4 linked regions of the Oryctolagus cuniculus genome follow. The protein of the gene in region 3 interacts with the protein of the main gene of each other region in a pairwise test. Links are inferred from orthologs where the notes say so. Each region holds a gene or a part of one and is shown on either strand. Other genes may lie near its edges.

What was found. The genes of interacting proteins can lie anywhere in the genome.
Region 1: the proteins of CCNDBP1 (region 3) and STK25 interact in binary tests that used the Homo sapiens proteins (3 or more experiments, as listed by UniProt). The two-hybrid records come from large-scale screens. The link is inferred for Oryctolagus cuniculus from reciprocal best matches to the Homo sapiens genes CCNDBP1 and STK25.
Region 2: the proteins of CCNDBP1 (region 3) and AMPD2 interact in binary tests that used the Homo sapiens proteins (3 or more experiments, as listed by UniProt). The two-hybrid records come from large-scale screens. The link is inferred for Oryctolagus cuniculus from reciprocal best matches to the Homo sapiens genes CCNDBP1 and AMPD2.
Region 4: the proteins of CCNDBP1 (region 3) and NANOS2 interact in binary tests that used the Homo sapiens proteins (3 or more experiments, as listed by UniProt). The two-hybrid records come from large-scale screens. The link is inferred for Oryctolagus cuniculus from reciprocal best matches to the Homo sapiens genes CCNDBP1 and NANOS2.

The regions. Positions count from the first base shown.
Region 1 is NC_091434.1:279,021-283,182, forward strand, and holds the start of STK25 (serine/threonine-protein kinase 25), read left to right. Parts: upstream 1-1,362; 5' UTR 1,363-1,521; exon of another isoform or gene 1,522-1,583; intron 1,584-1,702; 5' UTR 1,703-1,759; coding exon 1,760-1,789; intron 1,790-4,162. UniProt on the Homo sapiens protein: Oxidant stress-activated serine/threonine kinase that may play a role in the response to environmental stress.
Region 2 is NC_091438.1:60,791,596-60,795,651, reverse strand, and holds the start of AMPD2 (AMP deaminase 2), read left to right. Parts: upstream 1-1,256; 5' UTR 1,257-1,443; coding exon 1,444-1,444; intron 1,445-1,460; exon of another isoform or gene 1,461-1,568; coding exon 1,569-1,715; intron 1,716-2,381; exon of another isoform or gene 2,382-2,519; coding exon of another isoform or gene 2,520-2,684; intron 2,685-4,056. UniProt on the Homo sapiens protein: AMP deaminase plays a critical role in energy metabolism. Catalyzes the deamination of AMP to IMP and plays an important role in the purine nucleotide cycle.
Region 3 is NC_091443.1:66,134,665-66,138,843, forward strand, and holds the start of CCNDBP1 (cyclin-D1-binding protein 1), read left to right. Parts: upstream 1-1,379; 5' UTR 1,380-1,525; coding exon 1,526-1,634; intron 1,635-1,797; coding exon 1,798-1,857; intron 1,858-2,130; coding exon 2,131-2,210; intron 2,211-4,179. Other genes in the region: TMEM62 (transmembrane protein 62), read left to right, coding at 126-452. UniProt on the Homo sapiens protein: May negatively regulate cell cycle progression. May act at least in part via inhibition of the cyclin-D1/CDK4 complex, thereby preventing phosphorylation of RB1 and blocking E2F-dependent transcription.
Region 4 is NC_091449.1:11,135,455-11,138,446, reverse strand, and holds NANOS2 (nanos homolog 2), read right to left. Parts: upstream 1,832-2,992; 5' UTR 1,781-1,831; coding exon 1,361-1,780; 3' UTR 501-1,360; downstream 1-500. UniProt on the Homo sapiens protein: Plays a key role in the sexual differentiation of germ cells by promoting the male fate but suppressing the female fate. Represses the female fate pathways by suppressing meiosis, which in turn results in the promotion of the male fate.

The DNA of each region.
Region 1 (4,162 bases), on a different chromosome or scaffold from region 3:
TGTAGTTGGGCCCTGACACCCACATGGGCAGCCCAGAGTTCTCGGCTTCCAGCCACCTTGAGCCTGGCCCAGTCCTGGCGGTTGCGGGTATCTGGGCAATGAACTAGTGGATGGGAGCTTTCTGTCCCTTAAATAAATAAAGTCTAGTGGCCAGTGCTGTGGCATAGTGGGTAGAGCTGCCGCTTGCAGTACCAGCATCCCATGTGGGCGCCGGCTCAAGTCCCGGCTGCTCCTCTTCCAATCCAGCTCTCTGCTGTGGCCTGGGAAGGCAGTGGAAGATGGCCCAAGTCCTGGGAGGCCTGGAGAAAGCTCCTGGCTCCGGATCAGCGCAGCTCCGGCCGTTGTAGCCAACTGGGGAGTGAACCAGCAGAAGGAAGACCTCTCTCTCTCTCTCTCTCTCTCTCTCTCTCTCTCTCACCCTGATGGGTGCTCCTGGCTGTTGGGCTTTTCCCGCGTTCCGGCCCTGCTCCGCGGTGAGAAGCGCTGACTGTGACCGCATCTCGGACGGTCTGCCTCGCCCACCGTTCCTTGCGGTCCCCTTACGAAGAGCTCAGAGCTGCAATCTTTCAACTCTGGGATCCGCTCCGTTAAGATTTCTTTGGCTTGGACCTGAGACCCTGACCCAAACCGGGCGGAGACGTCCCTGGCAGAGCACTCTCAGCCGCTTCACGTCCTCGCCGGTCCAGTTTCTCACCAGACACGATGGAACATACCAGAAGCCGGCCGAGGCAGTGAGCTGAGAACAAGCACAGATGCGGCCAAGTTCAAGCCCACTGCGTGACCCCGCCGGACGGCGGCCGGGGCAGGACCCCGGCCCGCAAGGTCCCCCCAGGTGCTGCTAAACGAGCAGGGGTGACGACACAGGCCACACGGCCCCTCACGCCACCTCCCAGTGCCCGCCGCGGACCGCGTCAAGTCAGGACCCCGCGAAGGGCTGCGCAGAGGGCAGGGCCGGGCGCCCAGAGGGGCCGGCCGGGAGCGGAGGGCTCGCAGTGGGCTCCCTGCAGGGCCCTAGGGCCGGAACGGCCCGCTCACGAGCAGAGTGGCGGAACGCAGCGCCCAGCCTCCAGCGCCGCACGCTGACCGGGACCAGCAGAGTAGCGGCCTCACGGCGATCGCACGCGCGTCCGCCTGCCCGCCCTAGGCACGCCGTGCGGGGGCGCCTGGCCGGAGAAGCAGCCCGAGGCCCTCCGAGCGGGACTCGCAGTCCCGGCGGGCCCCGCGGCGCACCAGCGCCTCGACGCCGCTCGATGCAAGGCCTGCCGGGACTTGCAGTCCAGCGCCGGCGCCTCGATGCCGCCCGTCGCGCGGCCTGCCGGGACTTGTAGTCCGGCGCCCGCGGGTCCAGGGCGCGGGGTGGACAGCGGGACTCGGAGTCCCAGGGAGCCGCGCGCCGGCCACGACGACCTCGCCGCCCTCGTCGCCGCCGCCTCCGCTGCCCCTGGGGTTTCTCGGCTACCGCCGCCGCCGCCGCCGCTACGCGGGCCAGCCCGGGCGTTCCCGGGCGGACGGAGGCTGCGGGTGGGAGCCTTCGCGGGCGCTGCGGCGCGGGCCGGGGGAGGCCGGGATGGAGCCCCCCGGAGGTGGGCGCGCTGCCGGGCGGGGCCGCGCCCGGGCGGTTGGGGCCGGGCGGGGCGGGGGCCGGGGCCGGGGCCGGGGCCGGGCGGCGCTCCCGGGGCCCTGACTGCCGCCGTCCCCACAGGGGACTGACGCGAGCGCGCCGGGGTCGCCGACGGCCGGGCGGAGCGCGGCGCGGACCATGGCGCACCTGAGGGGATTTGCCAGCCAGGTGAGGAGGGGCGGCACGGCGGCGCGGTCGGGGGTCGTTCCGCCTCCCGGGTGTCCCCGCCGCGCTCCCCGCCCTCCGCTGTCGCGGCTGCGGAGGTGACCGTGCGGCCGCCCGTCGCGCCTGCTTCGCGCTTTCCCGCACCCGCAGGTGCCAACGCTTCGCCCAGGGCGCGGCGCGGGGCGAGCGCCGGCCGGACCGTGGCGAGGCGTGGACAGGAAGCGCGTCCGCCCGCGACGGGAGCCGGTCGGGGGAAGGCGGCGGCCGGGGTCCCTGCTTCGTCTTTGACGTTTGGGCCTGCAGGTTACGTGGCGAGGATGTCGAGAGAAAAACCTGCTCACCTGTTAGAAGCGCAGGAGCAGGGCTGGCGGGGGCGCGGAGAGGGGACCCCGAGGTGGGAGGCGTCGTTTGGCCTTTTCGGGGCCCCTTTGCCATCCCGCAGGGCTGACCAGGCTGGTGTGGCCCCCGGGCCCCGTGGGCAGGAACGGTGCGGAGGTGCGAGCTCAGGCCGCAGCTGGGGTGTCGGGGGGCTTCGGGCCTCTGTTGTGCGGCGTGAGCAGCAGACACGTTGGGGCAGAGGGCCCAGGCTGCGTGGCCTACCCCGCAGCCCCTCCCGAAGAGGACCCCTGTGTTCCTCTTCCCAGGGCGGTTGGGCGTGGGCTGTCCCTGGGCTGCAGTGGCAGGTCCTTGTCACGCTCTTGCTGCTCAGGCTGGCTGCCGTGGCGGTGGGCACACCAGGAGGGGCCTGGGGGCAGGGACTTGCACCTTGCCTGCTCAGCCCTGGCTCAGGGGCTGTGTCGGGCGCTGCGTTGGCCAGGCTGTCAGCGGAGTGAGGTGGTACCCAGAGATGCTGCTGGGCCTCTAGGTCTGTCTCGGGCCAGCCTCGAAGGCGGTGGACTGTAGAGTGACAGGAGGACGCCAGCTCAGGGCCTGAGCCAGAGCCGCTGAGCCACCAGGATGGGGCTGTGCCAGGCAGCCTGGGGGAACGCGTCTCCCCAAAGCCCTGGAGGTAGGTGATGAGCTCTCTGCGACAGGAGAGTGGCCGCCTGCCCGTCAGTGGTCTGAGGGCTGCTGTGTCCAGGACTTGGGCACCTGCTCCGGCGGGCTGGGCTCTCGTGGGCTCTCGCCCGCAGCACCCTGAGGGCAGTGGAGCAGGTGTGACGTGTCACACACCGTGAGTTTCCTGGCTTCTGTTTCTAGAACCTGGTCAGCAGGAGAGGAGAGGCTGGGGTAAACGCAGCTCGCCTGGCCCGTGCAGCCTGGGCAGGACCGGACTTTGTCCTTGCTGATCCTCAGCCTTGGCTTTGGGGTCTCCTGGCAGCAGGCTGGCCCTGAGCATCCCCTGGGCTCATCCATGGCCACAGGCCTTGGGACCCGTCTGCCAGTTCTGGCCACTTTGCCTTATGTGTCCAAGCCGGTTAACTGGGTTAGGGTGTGTGTGGTCTGCAGCTGGCCTGCCTGGGGCAGCTGCTCTGGCTGTCACCCCAGGCCTGGTTCGGGTGGATTAAGTGGCCGGCGCTGCCCTGTCCTTGCAGCCCCGCTGCTGTGTCTGCGCCGCCCGGGGCTCAGCTCCGCTGTCCTCAAGTTCCTGTCTCCCCAGAGCCTGGCTCCCAGCCGGGGTCAGGGACACTGTGAGGCGGTCTCGTAGGCCTGGGCCTGGGTGATCGCCCCTCCTGCCCTGTGGTTACAAACCCTGGAGAGGGTGCTCAGGCTCAGCTGAAACGTGGCGTGAGCCTAGAGCAGCACCCTGCGGGCCCAGCACCCATGACTGGTGCTCTGCTCCGGGGAGGAGGCGCTGAGCCCGCCCAGCCCTGGCTGCCCTCACCTGGGAGCTGGCCATGTTTTCTGGACTTGGTGAGAAGTGGGCACTGAGACACTGTCATGGGGGTGGTGCCCCTCCTGGTGCGGAGACTCGGCTGGGCTTGCCTTGGGGCCGCCGCCCGCAGTGCTGGCATCCCACGTGGGTGCCAGTTGGAGTCCTGGCTGCTCCACTTCGTATCCAGCTCCCTGCTATGGCCTGGGAAAGCAGTGGAGGATGGCGCAAGGGCTTGGAGACCGGAAGATGCTCCTGGCTTCCGGGTTTGGCCTGGCCCAGCACTGGCCGTTGTGGGCATTTGGGGAGTGAAGCTGCAGATCTCTGTCTCTCTCTAACTCTGCCTTTCAAATAAATAAAAATAAATCTTAAAAAAAAAAAAGGAAAATTCTGTCTTGATGACACTCAGGGCCTTAACCCCACTCCCACCTCTACAGGTTCCCCTGTGGGGCAGCAAGCCACTAGGATCCTGGGGTATGGGGGCTGCCCTTCACCCTCGGCCGGCCGTGTTTCTGAGGTTGGTCAGCGCTTGGTGGCTGGAGCATGGTGTTCTCAGGAGCCCA
Region 2 (4,056 bases), on a different chromosome or scaffold from region 3:
CCCTCTCTCAGTCACTTTGCCTTTCAAATAAATAAATGTTTTTTTTTTTTTTTTAAATTCCTGGAGGTGGAGAGCTGTGTCAGATTTAAGAACCTTTATGAGATTCTTGATTATCTACTACCAAATAGCAATGTTTATAGCCTCCGGTAGTCTGTGTGTGTGTGTCTGTGTCCCATTTCACTATCCCCTTGCCTGCATTGATATGTTTTTCTTAGGCTTTGCCGTTTTGATTGGTGAACATGGTATCTCCTGGTTCTCTTTTTCTTTGTAAGGTGAAGGCATTTCCTCCCTACGTTTACGAAAGCCATGGAGTTTAAATTTGTTCCAAGCGTGGGGCAAGAGACAAGGGATCAGTGGAGGCGACACCAGGTGCAGGCAGAGGATGGGGTTCAGGGTCCAGAATCCAGTGTGGGGAGGGCAGAGGGAGGCAGAGTTTGGGAAGGAACTTGGCTGCGTGGGAGGTGAGAACTGGGAGGGACCCGACAGACTGCGTTAGCACAGCTGGGTGTGGGGGGCAAAGGGCTCCCACAGGGGCAGGATAACAATGACTTTCAGTGAGCGCTTAGGGACTTCCTGTGCCCCTCCCCAGTGAGGATGCCGGCCGGACAGCGTGCCTGCGGTGCCCAAGACAGCTCAGCTCCACTAATTTATGGGCTGCAAGGTGAATCAACTCGTGAGCGTGTCACTTGGGAACCAAGTCCAAGGCCAAACCAATGAAGTGATGATGCAGGAACACTGAGGGGTAACTACAGGCCGGCACAGTTATACACACTTATCTTATGTTAGCTCATTCACCTTAAACAACCAGCATATAAAGCACAAGAAACCGAAGCAGTTAGGTAGCCAGGGAGGAGATCGAAGTCCTGAATTCCAACCCAGGAATTCGGGCTACGGAGCCTAACCGGCAAATACAGAAGTTAGCGTGGGAGGGGGAAGATGGAATCGGAGGACACACCCTCGCCCGAGCCGAACGGGCGGCCCAGGTGAGGACGCCGTCGCCCGAGGGGCCGCACTTCGGTTTCAAGTGACTCCCGAGCCGCTAACCACGGCTACCCTTTCCTAGGCCCCCGCTGGGCCCAGCGCCGCTTACCCCCAGAGCGCGGCGCTGTCACCGCTCCGTCCCCCGCCTTACGGAGGAGGAAGCTGGCGCGCACAGCTCGCCCCCCACCCGGCGCCGGGCCAGGCCCACCGCGGAGTTCGCAGCCCACGTGGCGCCCGGGAAAAGGGGCGGGGCGGGGCCAGCCCGGGGGCGGGGCCGCGGGGCCTGGGGCCACGGAGACTGGCGCGGCGCCGCTGGGGTTCGGGTGGGGTCGCACCTGTTGCGCGGTTCCCCTCTGGCCAGCCACGGGAGTCCGGCGCCACATACCCAAGGCGTGTTGCGAGAAACCCGGACGAGTTCCGGGTCCTGCTGGCTGGGGGAGCACGTGGCCTGCCCGCTTCTCCAGTGCGTTGGCTGGGGGGTCGGGACGCCGGGGTTGCCCGAGGCCACTCGGTCGGCCGAGGTCGGCTGCGGTTCGCCCGCAGCCGGCTGGAAATTTTGAAAAACTGCCCTACTTTCCCCAACCCAGTGCCAGGTCACGGCCCTTTGGAGCGACTTGGCCGGGGTCTGGGGCCCAGCCCCTCTCCCCTCCCTCACGACCCGGGCTTCCCGGCTGTGCAGACCCTCGCGGGCGGCTCCCCCAGTGCCCCTCGGGATTCAGGCAGCATGGCCTCGGGTAAGTGTGTGCGCGTATGTTGGGGCGAGGGTCTCTGGACTCAGAGGTGCTGTGGCCAGGGTGACAAGAGTGTGGGGGTCTTGGCACAATCTGCAGGACCTCGGGAAGAGGCTGGGGAAGCGGAGCGAGTGTGGAAGGGAAAGTCAGAAGCGGCTGGGGGTGGGGTGGCGGGGCGTCCCTTCCCCAGACCCCAGAAGAGCCCCTGGCTTCCTGGGAGGTAGCTTCCGCCGGTCCGTGGAATTTTCCCAAGGCAGGCCCCTCCCTCCTGGGCTGGGATTCTCCGTTCCACTCCCTCCTCCGTGAGCTGGGCTGCCCCTGGAGCCGGGGGTCAGGTGGAGGAGCAGAGGGGGCAGAGCCTCGCCTCGAGGCGCCGGGTTTTGGACGGAGCGCGCCTGCCCCGCCTTGCCCTGCGAGGAGTGGGTTCTGAACTAGGCGAGCTCGGCCGGATTCCTCTTTACGGCGGTCTTTTGCTCTCCGGCTGGCTGGACCAGCCAGCCTGGACTTTGGAGCCCTGGCCGGGGCGGGGGGAGGTTTCCTGAGCGGGGGTGGGGGGTGGCGGGGTGTGGGTGCGGTTAGTGGCGAGCTGGAGGCCGGCCCTCCCCGATCTGGTAGTCTCCACCCCGCCCCCCAGATCCGGCCGCCGTCAGTCGCGTCACTCGAGGGCTAAGGGGCCGGGATGGAGGCCCCACTCGCCGACGTTGCCTAGACAACATCAGAAATCGTGGCCAGGGCCTCTTCCGCCTGCGGGGCGCTGCTTCCTGCATCAGTCACTCCCGCTGGGGGCGGGGCGGAGGAAGGGGTTGGATGTGGCAGAGCCAGGCCCCAGCCGGTGCGGCTCAGACTCCCCCGCTGTCGCCGTGGCCCCAGCCATGGCATCCTATCCATCTGGCCCCGGCAAGCCCAAGGCCAAGTACCCCTTTAAGAAGCGGGGCAGTCTGCAGGCCTCGGCTGCCGCCGTTCCAGGTGAGTGCGGGCTTCCTGTCCTCAGGTACTGGCTCTGCCTCACCTCCACCGCGGATGGCTCCTGAACCCCCCCACCCCGCCCGGGGGTGGGGGGACCCGCCTTCCCTGGCACCCTGCTGCTGCTGCTGGTGCCTTGCCCTCAGTCCCAGCGATGGCTGGCTTGGGAAGTGCAGTGGGGAGGCAGGCGAGCTGGGGGGGTGCCAGGTTTCTGTGTCAGTGATGCTGCTCCCCGTAACAAGGAGTGGGTGCAACGAGAGGTGTGTGTGTGCACACGTGTTGGTGTGTGCATGTGGGAAGTGTGTGTGCATGGAGTGGAGGCGTGGGGGCCTTGACCGGCAGGCTCAGGCTTCCCCTGAGGGTAGTTTCTCTTTGCAGGACCCCACTTGGAGGCTGCCCTTCCTGGGGGTCTGAATGGGGGCTCCCCTGCCTCTGCCGCTGGCCCATTCCTGGGGTGGGTTGTGAGTCCCTGAAGGGGATGGGCTGTCCTTGGGGGTACCGCATGGCCCCTGCACCTCTTGGTTGAGCTCTCAGGCTGTAGGCGTCTCTGCAGCATTGGGGCAGGCGGTGTGGTGCGGCAGTACCTGCCTCCCGGGGGCTCAGCTGCCCAGGTCTGTGCTTGCTGAGCAGTCAGCCTGCCGCCTGCGACGCCCCAGGCCCCCCCCCCCCCCCCCCGTGGCTGAGGAAGGACCCTCCCCTGCCTGGCTGACCAGGTCACCCTCCCAGCCCCTGGCTTCCTACCCATAGCTCAGTCCCCTTCCTGCTGTGTTGTCTTATGCTATTGAAGTTGTCTGGTCTGAGGTCTCTACTGCCCTGGGGGTCTCTGCCGAGGTCCAGGCCTTTCGTGTGTCCTAGGGCTCGGTCTGTCCTGGTTGCCCTGTTGCTGAACAGGAGACTTTCGTGGGTGGTCAGACGGTGGGTGTCTGATACTTGTGGGTCACAGACTTGGGCACCTCCCTGCCTACTGAGGCAATCTTGGTGGCCAGGATGTTGGAGTTGGTGGGAGTGGCTGGGGGCAGCCCCATCTGGCTTCTGCTTGACTCCCCTGTGTGAATGTGGGTGTGTGTATCTGTGGTGCTGCGGCCAGAGACCTCCTCCATAGTAGGCAGCTGAGCCTTGGAGCTTGGCCTGGGTGCCTGGGTGTCATCTCCGGTGAACCCTTCAGAGCTCTCTTCAACGACCAGCAGACTGGCGGGATGGCTGTGGCCGCTAGAACCTGGCTTGTAACTCCCAACGCTGCTGTGGAGGCCCCGGGCCGCCGGCTGGGGGCCAGGCTGAGGTTAGGGCCTTCGCGGCAGCTGGTGAGGAGCCAACACAGACCAGCCTCTTGCAGGAGATTAGGAGTCAGCTGGGGCCCTGTGTGAGGGATCAGAGTCCTCAG
Region 3 (4,179 bases):
TGTGACCGACACTTAGTGAGACAGCTAACGAAGACAGAAAGCCACCGATTCTTAGGAAGCAGCAATAATGTGTTTGGACTTGAGCCCTGCAAAGGCGGCTAATGGTTGTGTTCTCCTCCCTCCAGCTGGTGTTCTTTAACATCCCCTTGATGGCCTACCTGTGTTGGAGCTTGCTGCAGCGGTGCTTTGGTCACAACTTCAGGTCTCATCTCCATCAAGGAAAACACTTGAAAATCATACCTGTGCACCTACTTATGTTCCTGCTGTACGTCTGGCAGCTTTATTCCTGCTACTGTCTTCACGTGACTCACGGCACTCTAGCTCTTTTATTCTCCCCTCTGCGGACCTGGTTGTCACTGCTGACTCCTCTTCTCGTTCGTTATGTGTGGAAACTGAACTCCACTGAATTTGGAACCTTCATGGTGCATTTTAAAAGCCACCTGAGCTCCTGAGGGCCATGTCTTGCCACTGGCAGCTGGCTGGAAGTCCAGCGTCTGCACCTGTAGCCAGGCCCCCGCTCCAGTAGCAGGTGGAGGGCCAGCACTGGTGTGTGAGCCTCAGGGAGCTGCTGCTCTTTGGACACTTGGATGTTGCAGGGATTATCCACTATTGATTCCTACAGAACAGACTGCAGAAAAGTCTCTAAATAATGACTTGATTCCTTCCTTCCCTGGGGAGGCAAAGGATTGATTTATCTTTGTGAAGAGAAAATCCTAATCTAGGAGCTCCACAGGGCAGGGTCTGGGTGTGTGAGTGGGGGCATCTGAGGCCCCGTGTGTTTTTAAGATTATCCCATGTAAAGCACCTAGTACCGCTGCCTGGAACTCAGCAGCTGTCAAGGGTGCTGTTAGGGGCAGGGAAACTGTGGACTTTGGCCCAACTCTGACTACCATTAAGATATTAGTTCCCAGTCCTGTTTGGCCCCCGGGTTATGAGCTTTTGGCCCTAATTGGGGGTGTTTTCAATTAATTGACTTAATGAATGAATAAATACCATGAGGGCAGGCATTTGGCCTAGTGGTTAAGGCACCAGTTGAAACAGCCCTGGCTGTGCCCCCTCTGGAGTCCAGCTTCTTGATAATGCACACCCTGGGAGTCAGGGAGTGATGGCTCAAATGGTAGGCCCCCTGCCACCCATGTGGAAGACCCGATTGAGTTCCCTGCTGCTGGCTTGTGGGTTTTGGGGAGTGAATCAATGGATGGGAGCATGCTCCCACTGTGTCCCTCTCTGTCCCACTGTCAGCCTCAAATAAATAAATAAAAATTTAAAGCAACAAAAACCATAGTATTTTCTTTAAAAGAAAAAGACCCGGGACGTGAGCATTGCTTTGCTGTCCAGCCTCTGGAAATGGGTGGTGCTTGTTTGGGGAAGGCTTGGCCGGGTCTGGGGGCGTGGCCTCAGGGAGGCGGAAGGGGCGGGGCAAGCGGCTTGTTGCCGGAAACGAGCCTAGTGGGACGACTGCTGCTCTGCGTCTCTGGCAGCGCCTCCGGCTGCCTCGGTCTCCGGGGTCACCCGAGCGACTGCGATGGCGAGCGCAGCTGCACCTGCGGCCGCAGTGCCCACCCTGGTTCCGCCTTTGGAGCAGCTCCGGCACTTGGCGGTGGAGCTGCGACTGCTCCTACCTCGAGTGCGGGGTGAGCTGACACAGGGGGGCGGAATGGCAAGTGCGTTCTTGGGGTGAGGGAGAGGCCAGGCTGGCCGGCGACCGGAGGCGGAGCCCCTGGCCGAGGCCGTGGTTCCGCTTACCTGAGCTTTTCCTTTCGCCACCGTCTGGCCCTCCCATGCCATACCCACAAGTCGGCGAAGCCCGCGGCACCGTCGAGGAGTTTAATCGGGAGACGTTCTGGAGAAGATTCAGTGAGTGCCCCTGGCGCCGGGGCCCCCATCTTTCACCCTCGTCAGCGTCCCCGTCCTTTAACCTCCCGGCCGCCCGTAGGAGGCGACTCCGTCCCCCAGTCGCATCCTCTCTGTGGGAATACCCCACTTTGCCCATCGCTGGCACCAGAAAGGTTGACATGTAAACCACTGACTCTGAGAAGTGTTTTGCTAGGCCTCGGGCGGAGAGGGGACGCACGCAGCTGCTCCGCTTATTAACCTTTTGGCTCTGCCTGCCCCTCTGCCACCCCGCAGATGAGGCGGCTGTGAACGTGTCGAGGGAGGCCACGACTCTGACCACTGCCTTCTCTCGGCTTCCGCTGCCGTCTCCACAGGTGGGCTGCCCTTTCTTGGAGTCCTCGGACTTTCTTTTTACCTTTTACAGTCAGGCCAGGAAATGTGTTTTTCTCGGACGGGATTACAGTTCTTACCTCGCAGGATTGTTGTGAAGTGCGCTTTGGGGCGCGGAATAGGCAGGTCCTCTGACTTTGAATTTGCAGTCCGGCCTAGGTTATTTCCTTTCTGATATCTTTTTAAAGCACTGGTTATTCGCTAGATGTTTTCACCCTGACAGATGAGTAAGTAGGCTCAGAGGCTCAGGTTAACACACATAAGTGATAGAGCTAGAATTTAAATCCACCTGTTGTCTCAGCTACTCCTGTGCCACATAAAACCCTTTTATATTAGTACTTTTCCATTCTATATTTAATCAGTAACTTTTAAATCATACTATAGTAATATAAAATTCAAAAGATATCAAATATAAGTGTGCTAAAATGTTTCTTACCACCCCATTCCTCATTTTTGTCTCCCTTCCTGGTTACTTTTCCATTTTTTTCCTATATAGTGTATTCTATGTGTATATACATTTATGTGTAAATGAGCTGCTTTTTATACAAATAATATGATACTACTTTGTTCTGGACATTCTTTTTTTAAAAATTGGCAACATAGTTTGGAAATCAGTGTGTCTGTTCTTGATGCGCATACACAGTTGCTCAATTCTTTGTCGTGTCTGCACGGTATTCAACAGAGTGAATATTACCATAATTTAACCAATATTCTGTGGACATTTAAACTTCTTCCATCTTGTCAGTATTATAAATCGTGAATTGCATACTACAATCTTTGTATGCCTGTGTACCTCAGTAGAAAAAAAATCCCAGAAGTGAAATTGCTAGAACAGAGAATGTATACATGGATAATAATCCTTTATTGTAAGACTGATGAAAATAAACATATTGGTTGTGAACAGGTATGCCCTATGCTGCTGACTCCATTTTTTCTAGAGCTATATATACTTAATTTGGGCGTGAGGTTATTTCAAAATGACACATTCATTGCTTTCTTTGATTTTCATAGTAGTTTTGGTCTCTTTTCGATCTGTGTATCCAGGTGTCTTGAAATGATATAAATATCTTTTTGCTACATATACCTACAATAAAAACTCTGTTTTCTCTGCATCCTTAGAGATTTTGATGAGTAAGCAAGAATTGAATTGTATAATATCATTTGAAACTGGAGTACTAATATGATCTTTATTTTCTTGTCTGCTGACTCCTTTCAGGTATGATTGGGGTTTACTGCTAAAACTCACAGCAAGTACTGTGAGGAGCCAGCACAGAAATATTTTTCTGTACTTGCTAAGGACTGTAGTTTGCTCATAGATGGGTGAAAAATTAGAATTGGGTTTTATTATATATATATATGTATATTCACAAATATATGTGTTCAAATGTGTGTGTATTTAAATGATAATCACTTTCTAAAATCCCAACACTTCATTCCTACAGATGGTTGACTTGAATGGACTGATATCTTTTATAATTTTATGTGCTTTGATGTTGAAACAATGTCAAATTGCATCTCTCTAAACATTCTCAGTCACTGCACTTACTTCATCCCAAACTGGGAGCAGTTTGCTAACTGGTACCAGTGCGAGCCAATGAGGACAAGGAAGATGAGAGAGCCAGTGACCATTTAGAAGGAAAACAGTCAACACTAAACATGCTAGTTATGTTCACTTAAAGATTGTAATTTTGCTAAAAGAGAGAGCTGGTTAATGATCTAATGCTGGGGGTTGGCAATTTTTTTCTGTGAAGACTCAGTAAAAGGGGCTGGTATTGTAGCATAGTGGGTAAAGCTCCCTCCTGCAGTGCTGGCATTCTATATGGGCACCGGTTGGAAACTCGGCTGCCCCACTTCTGATCCAGCTCCCTGCTAATATGCCTAGGAAAGCAGCAGCAGATGACTGAAGTGTTTGGGCCTCTGCCACCCATGTGAGACACCTGGAGTAAGCTGCTT
Region 4 (2,992 bases), on a different chromosome or scaffold from region 3:
CGGGACTAGAACCCGGTGTGCCGGTGCTATAGGCGGAGGATTAGTCTACTGAGCTGAGATATTCTCTCTTTCTCTCTCTTTTTCCCCCTCCCACCCTCCCTCCCTTTCACAGAAATAAAAACAAATTGACAATTCAATGTTTAAACAAACAACTGTTGTTAAAAATAAATGCAGCCTGCTGGAATAACAGGCTATGCACTTTGTGTTACGTGTGCTGGGGGCAGAACCCACGCTTTTCAACATCTCTCCAGTGGGGTCTGGGCACCCAAGCTTAAACAACTCCCAGGAAGTTGGTCTCGGAAGTCCCGTGGCCTCACAGGGGTGGGAGGGCAGCCCACAGACAGGGCACAGGATCTGGGGTCCAGGTAGAGGCGGAGGAGGAACCTGGGACCCAGTCACGGGGGTCAGGAGAGGAACCCACGGCCCCGAGCTGTCCCCGCCCCTCCTCCCCACTTTCCAAGAGCCGGGGCTAAAACTGCTCTCCACCTCTGTCGGCCAGCCAGCAGGTGAGGAGGTGGAAACGGACAGATGTCAAAGACAACTTGAAATATTCTTTATTCACTAGCGCCTGACACCCAGGTCCCCGACCCTGAGCGCAAACTGAACAACTGAACATCTCACGGGCTTTCGTCTGTGCCCCCAAAATAAAACCTAGGCGGTCGCCATTCCCATCTGAACACTCAGACCCCTTGCTGGTGGGAGCTCCACGGGTCTAACGCTGGGAGGATGGTGATGGAGGGGAGGGTGGGACTGGCGGGGAGACGCACCTGTCGCCAGGGGAGAGGACCCACGGGGGACTCGGGATTCGGAGCAGGAGCAGCGTGAAAGAGCGAGAATCATGGAGGGCCGAGGGCGTCCAGCTCACCCTGAGGCTCTCCAGCGATGAGCCTGGGAGGGCAGCGCGGCCCCCACCGCCCCCAGTCCAGGTGGTCCATGCCGGAGGTGTGGGTCTGCAGGTGGCTGAAGAAAGTGGAAACTGGCTGGCACATCCGGGCCAGCTTTGCTCGCTGTGTGCAAGTCCCCAGAGGGCACGGCCAGGTCCGAGAGGGCTTCGGATCCCAGAATTCTTCGAGGAACGGGGGCCTGGGGCTGGGAAGTCGCCAGCAGGCCCTGGAAGCAGGAGTTGCCCAAGAAGCATCGCGAAGCTGTGCAGTCCCCTGGGCAGGGCTCCCCTGCACCAGGACAAAGTTCCACGGCGGGGGGCTTGCCAGCAGCCCCCCACCCACTGCTTTGGGATCCAGCAGGGGTGGCGTTGCCAAGAGCTGGGTGGATGGAGTGGAGGGGTCAAGGGCTTGGTGGGGAGCGAGCCAGGTCCCGAGGGCGATGCGGGGCGGGGCGGGGCGGGGGCACCTCCCAGTGCTCAGCGCTTCACCTTGCGGCCGGCCGAGTTCCGGCCACTGCGGCGGTACAGGGACTGCTGGCTGCCGTTGAGCGGGCAGTACTTGAGCGTGTGGGCCTGGCCACCCGTGGCCCCGCACAGGGGACACACGTAGTGCCTCAGGATGGGACACACGACGACACCCTCGGGCGTCTTGAGCTGGTGGGAGGAGTACACGTGGCGGGACTCCCCGTTGTGTTTGCAGAAGTTACACAGGGAACCCAGGCCCCCGCCGGGCCCCAGCCCCACCAGCCCGTCATCTCCTGGCCCCAGCGGGGCCCCGGGGCTGGGCTCCTGCACCCCCTGGGCCTCCAGCCTCGGCCCCCGACTCCTGATCAGCGCCCACAGCACCTGGTTCAGGTTGAAGTAGTCCTTCCACATGTCAAAAGGTGGCGGCTGCATGCTGCCCAGCCTGGGGCTGGGTCGGGCTGGAGGTGCGCGGGGTGGGGTGGGGGTGCAGCTGGAGAGGGGCTGGGGCTGGGGGCAGGCAGGGAGGAGCAGCTGGCTTTGGTGGAGCAGAGAGGAGCTGCGCCCCCTATTTATTCTCCTCAGAGACCCTTCTCAGCATAGGTGGAGCTTAGGATTTAAAGGGCCCACTCCCTGCCCATGACCCCCAACTGACTGATCTCCCACCAAGATCTGGGAGGAAGTTGCCTGCCTGCTTGCGGGTCCCTGCGCTGCCTCTCAGGGGCTCTGCGTCCTCTGCCCAGAACACGGCCACTCCTGGGGGCTCTGTTTGCCTCTTTGTTCCCTGACCACGACCCAGGCCTGCAAATGCCTCCCCCGCCGGCCCCTCCCCACATCCTGGAGGAGCTACCCCCTCCCTGATCTCCAGAGCCCAGTGTATATAATATAAGTGCCCACTACTTACAGGAGCCCCTACAGCGGCTGGACGCCATGCTGCACGGGCGCCCGTGGGGTGCCATTGAGTCCTCATGGCAACCCCATGTTGGGAGCAATCGAGACCCATTTATAGATGAGTAATGGAAGTTCAGAGGGGGAACCTCAGCCCAGAGTCACACAGCCTGGATGGGACTCCAAACCGAGTGCTCTTGCTACCTCTTTTTTTTTTTTTTAAGTTTTAACTTAGGGGCTGGTGCTATGGCGTACGTAGCAGGCTAAGCCTCTGCCTGCAGCACTGGCATCCCAAGTCCTGTCCCAGCTGCTCTCCTTCCGATCCAGCTCTCTGCTAATGTGCCTGGGAGAGCTGCGGAAGATGGCCCTTGCACCCGCATGGGAGACCGGGGGAGGCTCCTGGCTCCTGGCTTTGGATCACTCCAGCTCCGGCTGTTGTGACTATTTGTGGGGGTGAACCAGCAGATGGTCTCTCCCTCTCTCTCTGCAGCTCTGGCTCTCAAATAAATCTTTTTTTTTTTTTTAGTTTAACTTATTTTTAATTTTTAATTTGAGAGACAGCTCCTATCTTCTGGTTTACTCCCCCAAATGCCTGCAACAGCCAGGGCTGGGCCAGGCTGAAGCCAGGAGCCAGGAGCTCCGTAGGGATCTCCCACTTCGGGGGCAGGGACCCAGAACCTGAACCATCACCTGGGTGTGCGTTAGCGGGAAGCCGAGATCGGAAGTGGAGGAGCTGGGACTTGAACCAAGCACTCTGAG